2 linked regions of the Schizosaccharomyces pombe genome follow. The gene in region 2 interacts genetically with the main gene of each other region. Each region holds a gene or a part of one and is shown on either strand. Other genes may lie near its edges.

The links.
Region 1: of mis20 (region 2) and scm3, a mutation in one rescues a mutant of the other (synthetic rescue), as found in Schizosaccharomyces pombe (one study listed by BioGRID).

The regions. Positions count from the first base shown.
Region 1 is NC_003424.3:1,860,161-1,863,948, reverse strand, and holds scm3 (CENP-A histone chaperone Scm3), read right to left. Parts: upstream 2,143-3,788; 5' UTR 2,016-2,142; coding exon 1,005-2,015; 3' UTR 817-1,004; downstream 1-816. Other genes in the region: mRNA export receptor Nxt1, read right to left, coding at 187-515, 568-586. UniProt on the Schizosaccharomyces pombe protein: Centromeric protein that plays a central role in the incorporation and maintenance of histone H3-like variant CENPA at centromeres.
Region 2 is NC_003423.3:3,208,227-3,211,959, reverse strand, and holds mis20 (protein Mis20), read right to left. Parts: upstream 2,075-3,733; 5' UTR 1,939-2,074; coding exon 1,177-1,938; 3' UTR 797-1,176; downstream 1-796. Other genes in the region: rRNA processing protein Rrp7, read right to left, coding at 1-210, 259-607; kgd2 (dihydrolipoyllysine-residue succinyltransferase), read left to right, coding at 3,381-3,501.

The sequences.
Region 1 (3,788 bases), on a different chromosome or scaffold from region 2:
TGTGTTCTAAAGAAGTATGAGGGATTAGGGAATGTGTCGCTCAGATAAGCTTGCTGCGGCAAATTAATACAAACTCTAAACGAAATGAAATCTTTGTTTTGGATACGTATTATTCACTCATAATTCTAAAATTTTGACTGGCAATATAATACTTTGATTCTTCCTGTTGTAGAACTATATTGTCTCTTAAAGGAAGTTAGTAGAGGATCTTAGTACAAGAAGGTAAATACAATAAAAACTGACATACGAAAATACATGAGGTTTTTTTCCATCGAAACGTATTGTTCCTGAAACAACAATTATGATATTCATATCATTACCCATGACCTGTTGACTATCGAAATCCTCAACTTTAGTTTTGGAGTATGGAAGATTAACTATCATAGAGGTAAATTCGGTTACTTGCATGGGTTTTCCATTCCATAAGATCAAACTATTTTCTCTGTAAAATTCTGCGATCCCATTTCTGTTCGTATCAAGAGATGAGTAATACCGTTGGACGAACTCCTGCGCATCTTTAATTGTTAGTTTATAGATAAAGCTTTAGTAATGCGGCATTTAACATACATTTTACACTCGACTCCATAATGATTCACAATGACAGAAATTTGTAGTGGTGTAAGTAGTCATTTAAACAGGTACATGTGTTATAAATTGAAATATTGTACTCATTAAGCGATATTTAAAGATAATCTTTGTTCAACACACTGAATGGATATTTCGGCTAGATATCTTTATGACTACGATTTTTACTTATAACATGAAGAGTGGAGAACAATTATGTGTACTCATTTGCCATACTACAAAAGCATAGATCACGTAAAAACTCAACGAATGATTAATATATTAGTAAAAAAATATATATTCGAATGTAACATGATAACTCGAAAGACAATTTGTTGTAAATGAAAACAAAAAATAAATATATGTTCGAAGAAATAGGTCATTAAAAGCCATGGTATGGCAAGCGAAGAAGATGGGAGAATAAGTGGTTTAAAGCTGAATCAACATTTTTTTGACTCAGAAATGCATTGGAAACAAAATGCTTTTTTACAAGTGCTGGAAGAATGAGGGTTCTGAGTGCTACTTCCTGAGAACGAAGTTTGTTGACTTAAAGGTTGAAAACCAAGATTAAAATGATGGGTAGAAAGATTAGGTCGAGGGGATATCATTGAAATTAATGAAATAAAGTTTCTTCGTTTTGTAGAATTGGAGTTTCGGACTTTTGACTTAGAAAAAGATCTACGTAAAGGAGTTTTAGGAGATGATAATAAAGGGTTCCTTCTTCTCGGTGAAGATAAAGTATCAGAGATGACGTGCAAAATCTCATTTTGTTCTATGCTTTTATGCTTGATTGTATCCAAACCACGCTGATCTGTTAATGTTCCTGATGAGTTTGGCAACAGACAAGATTTTTTTTCCAAAGCTGAAGCATCAACTTTTCTTGTTTTATCATTGATTTTTAGTCTCACGCATGACTGAGAGGGTATAGTTTCATTACAAACATTTTCCACAAAAAGTGAAGCTAAAGGAACTTCATCTGCAAACACACAATCTGACACCATTTCATCACGAAGTGATAGATTTTTAAATTTATAGATCTGGGGAGACTGAAAATCCTCTATATGGACTGGTGAAACAGCTTTTTCCCCTGGGTTGCCAATGCTTGAGTCTAATTTTTTTTCGTATCCATTTGACGCTGAGATTTCAAGGTTGTTAAATGTAGGATCCCATATATCATCTTTTGTTTTTAAAGCTTCTAGATGTCCATTATTAACAATAATTTCACCAGTTGCAAGATCTACTTCATCAGCTATATCAGAAGTGTCGCGTCCATATTTTTTGAAAAGAGATTCCAAAAAGTCGTTGTACTTCTTTTCGGACTCAATTCTTTTACAAAACACATCATCACAAGCCGTAGGATTAGTATTAAATTCGACAGACTGAAAAGACAACAGATGTGGACAAGAATAGTTTGGAGGCAGGTCAACGGCTTTCGGTTGACGATTGCACATGATTGAAAGTTAAAATCATTTGGTATTGAGAAATTTTGTTCAAAAAATCCTTTCCAATAAATTTCTTAAGGCAAAAATTGGAGATTTTCAGTTATTAGTAGGAAAGCGATTTCAGTAGTGGTTTATTAGTGAACGGTGCCATAACTGTAGACTTGTATTAGAGTTTCGTAACTAATTCACGAATGACTTTTAGATTTAATTTCTGTTAGAACTTAGAGATCAAAAAAAAAAGATAATGAAAAGTTCTTTTGAATAGTTTATGCAAAAGTGTAATTTCAATGATGGTCGCTTAACGCTTGTAAATTAACTCATTGCTCCAAAAGACTGATTTATCTGTTCTTGCACTAATTCTATACTGTTTAAGAATTTCTAAAATACATAAAATTAATAGACATACAATTTTGTAATAATAACGAACGCTGCGATACCTTGTGGATTCCAACGAACATAGCAATTCCACATTACTTTTTTAATGATAAAATGAGAAATCAACGATACCTAAAATAAAGAAAATAAGGATACTCGTTTTGGTGAATATTACTTTGCATCATTTGCACAATTTAATAAAAAAATCCCATAAGTTGAGCATTCCATTTGTCACATCGCCCCAAAGAAGCGTGACGATTCTTTGGCTTTCTTTCACAAATAATTCGTATTAGTTGAAAGCGTTCTGTTCGACAAGTTTAGCCATATTTTGATTGTTCATTCATGTAAATATGAGGATACGTAGCGCAGCTCCTCAATAGAATTCTTTTAGAAAGTGTCTATTGTACCAACTAGTAACTATTATCAATTCCATTACAACATAGAATTGGAGAAATCATCGCTAAATAATTAGAACAAAGGATGAATTGATCTCGGCATTGTTTGCATTCTTACTAAGTGCCAAGTGAAACAGACAATAGCGAGAACAATAGAAATGTTAAACAAAACGACAGAACAATTTGGACACGATAGGGAACGTATTGTAAAATAAACTATTTTTGGCTCTTTGTGACTTAGTCTCATGAACACAGTCTTCTATAACTTGAAGCAAAACCGAGTCGTTTCATGTTTCAGTTTCTTACGGTATGCTTGTTTTGAACAATTTCTTTACCGAAGCATTCACATGAAAAGAATTACTACACCATATGGAATATGACAATAGGAATTACTCATTCCCCTCCAACAATAAACGTACCCGTTACCTGAATAGCACAGCATGCCGATGAAACAAAGGAAGTTGAGTACAGCGCAACTCTTTCAACTACTCCATAATTGCACTTTCTTTAAAACACTACACCATTGTTTGAGCATTGTATAGTTCAAATACTCGAATTTCTTTGTATTCCTTCACCATGGATCCTAAGTATAAAAAACCGCATAGAGCTCCATATTTGTCATTACATTTGAAGGTTTCGTAAAGCAAGCTGAATAAGAAACTGCAATCAGAAAAAAAAGAAGGGAACGACGAAGACTTTGTTTTAGTACTAGTATTGCAATTGACAAATAGGTTCAGCAAGGAATTTTGATCACTTAACTCGATTTTTTTGAAACCTCTCTGATTTTGCCATTCGCTCGTCTACTTATTCCTCATTACCTTTTGACACTCTTTTGCTTTTTCATTTTTTAGTTTTTTTCAGACTAGTAGAATTTTGAAATAACTTCTCATTGCATTGCATCGCATTTCTCAATTTTTTATCTATCTTTTGATTTGAGTCTTGCTTCTTTTTAATACTTTCTTTTCTTCTTCTTTGAAAAACATTATTAATTATAATTTTTCTTTTATCGCTT
Region 2 (3,733 bases):
ATTGACGCTCAGCATCCTGAGGTCGCCCGACAGGTGCCCGGCCGCTGCGAACGACCGTTACGAATCCATCTTCATCAGGTTGATTTTTCATAGCGAATAGTCTCCTCTTTTCTGCTATTTCCTTTTTAGTAACACGTTTCATGTATGAATCAACACTTTCGGCTAGAACACGTGGATTGACAAACTGTCTATCATAACTTTCTACATAACCTATTAAACACATTAGTATTTCCAAAAAAATAATGACCATGTTCTTACGTTTCAAACCAGTATGCTGTGTGAACTTCCAAGGAAGCGAGGTCGTCTTTTTAGAAGCTGCCTTGATAACTTGTTTAACTTCAGCGGGCTCGACTAATTTGACGCGTAAATGGGTGCCACTTTTCAAAAGGCCACTAATATTAGGATAGATATTAACGATACGACCGCCCAATTGAGAAATTGCTCTTTTCAAAATCTTTTCAGTAGTTGTGATAGGAACATTAATCAAATACAGTGACTTCTTTTCAACATCTTCCGTGTCTTCTTTCAAAAATATACTATGCAACCTCTTTTTATTTTCCAAATAAATTTCTAGTTTAACAAACCCTTTTTCTTTGAGCTTGTCCATTTATATGAGTTGTTTGGTTCTTGGGTAAAATGCAATTTGTTACTGAGCTTGACCGAGGGCAAGACCATAGGAGCTGTATACTCTTATACCTTCGCATACTTCATCTCGTTGTGACTATAATTATTATTATATACAATATACATTAAGAATGTTAGAATAAGCGAAAATTAAACTAAGATTTGCTTATTTTCTAGGATTAAAAAAAAAATGTAATTATACAACTTGTAATTTATTTGCTGCTAAATAAAAGCTCCAAAAAGCAATGTAATAATTGAATTGGGAGCTAGAGGTGTTGGATTGTAAATTAATAAAAAAATACAGCTATATTGATATGCGTGGTTGCTAATTGCATTTAGTGTTCCTAACCAAGATAAACGTTTTTAAAAAAGATCCTTATAGCCTACTCATACAAAGTATAGTGCTCGGTATAGTCATTTAAAAGGATTATTGATATTTGAATAAATTACTGCACACGCTTAAGGTAACTTTTTGCATTATAAAATGGTCATTCAAAATTTTTCGTAATAACAAAGAAACGTTATTGTATACTTCTTGTTCGATTGGACTCACTACCTTCTACGACTTCCCTTATGCAAAATCAGTTTTCCAAAAGTTTGAAGTCTTTTAAGTTCTGAGTTTGGGTTAATTGTAGGGGTTTTGCGTCTTATTGGAGTCACAGGAAGCTCTATAGGGCTAAGTTTTCTCAACGGTGAGGATGAGTCTGCATTAAAATAAAAAGCTTCTGCAGCATCATATTGGTTACTTGCTGATTCTTCAAGAGATATGAAAGAACGGTTTTTACTCACAGAAAGAGAATCCACTGATGTGTAAGGCGAGTAACCCCTCGATGCATCAATAACGTTGATACTTTCCGTAGAAACATTAGACACGTTGTTGATTTCTGTATGACATGATTCTTTTTTCACTTTGTAAGGAGGTGATCTAATTGTATTAGAATGTGATGGATGCTTGTTTTTTGAAGTAGTGGGACCGGTTTTTGAAAAAGTATAGCTGACTATTTCATCCTCTTCTAAATAGTCTGGTAATCGGTAATTATTTTGTGAAAGTAATTTATTATTGTCACTTAAATTATATTTTAAGCATTCAAAGCCCATCGGAGAATCCTCTATACTATAAGTCGACATATTTAACGTAGGATCTGAAGTTTTTAATATCATCAATCTTGCAGAATCATGTCTTAGTTTACTCAATGCTTCTTCAGCTCGCAATGGCAAAGGAAGAGATTCAAATAATTGTTCAAATTTCACTTGGATTCGATCTTCTTTTGGTGCATTATTTATGAACGCGTGCGATTCACTTTGTTCCAACATTTTGCCATGCGATTTATCTTTTTAAAGATATGACTTTAGGTTAAAATGAAGTTTAACAAAGTTTTGAGATTTGGATAAATCCAACTTTTCAATAATTGCTTCATTTAGGTGTTAAGGCTCAAGAAAATTGGTTAGTGAAGAAGGTAAATAAAATCAACGATATATATACTGTAGGTGCTTGCAAAAAATGTCTTCAATGAAAAACCTAGGAATTGATTAAAGGGATGATAAAGACAAAAGAGGTATAGAGTTTATATATACTATTTATTTGATACAGCGAACCGCTGACATTTTGTAGAATACAACTTATGTAGCTTAATTGAATGTTTTGATCGCAAAAAAAGGGTTTCTAGGAATTTTCGATATATTAGAGCTAGATGAGATGAAGTATTAGGAAAATGTTTTTTTTTTCTATATATAGAAATAGCAATACCAATAAACGCGCGACAAATAAGCTTACTATTTACAATGTAAAACAAACATTTCTCTCAAGCTGCGAAACCAATGTGATTTCTAATTCTAAACCATACTTATTCATTCTGTAAGTTCAGAGCGAATATCTTGCAAATTAGCGGAAACATTCATTAATGCTCGTGTGCGGGCAAGCAATGCATTTCCTTACGACTGATATTGTTCCGGCAGTGACCCAAAAAGTCATATGCCTTTGAAACTAATTACAATGTTCAATATCAAATGTATATATGAGGTATTAATTCATAATAATAATTCATTCGTATGAATAACAGCTCAAATATTTTTTATTTTTACTGTATATATTCGTCTATGGATAGAACCGTACAACTAGGAAGGTTGTCCGAGTGGTTATGGAGCTAGTTTAAGGCACTAGTGCGAAAGCTCGTGGGTTCGAGTCCCACACCTTTCAATACTATTTTTATTCTTTTGGATATCTGCAAAATGTCAATGTAAAAAAAGGAGAAAACCGAAATTGATAAATATTTTTTTGAATTCAACTTTAAAACAACTTCATATATTGATCCTTAATAGTTTATCATTTTTGCTGTCTTTACATCACACTATTACAATTTAGTGTATTGTAGCAAACCTTTATTATTCCAAATCCTTTCTAAACAATGTTTAACGAAATACAGTGACTCTCATCAAATCTCTTTACTACCCCCAGCTACATTTCCTAATAAGGTTTTATAAATGGCCTACCATAGGTCATACTGGTTTCACACACCGAATAGGATTCTACAGGTTCAAAGCACTACCGTGCACTCATACTCCATATAATATATTACAGTGTTTATAAGGGTGTAGCATATTTACCTTCTACCACATACAACAACCCCCTCTAGCAATAATACAAAATAAGCAAGCCACTGTTAGTTGATTTGGCTTTCGTACATTCTTCTTGTTTTTTCTTGTGCTGTCTTTATTCAAGATTGAAGTAAATTACTTGTTACGGAAAAACCATCATAATGACTTCTTACGGCAATGGCTTTCGCATGATGGCGAAATGTCTTTTATCTCTACGTTCAGGATATTCAGTCACTGCTCCAGTGTCTAAATCCATGGCCAACGTCCTTTGGGCCCGTTATGGTATGTGTTGTTGATCATGATGTAGATATTGTTTGTTAAAGGAGACGGGATATATATGTTAGTACTCAACTTGCTCATAAGAATCAACTTTTGCTAAGTGCATCTGTCTTAAACTTTATTTTGAATCAAGTGGACGCTGTTGATTTCAAAATAATTAAATAATTCTTCACAAGGTCATATTCACACATGAATAGGAATTCTCAACTATGTTTTCTTCCTTTCACTCAGTATC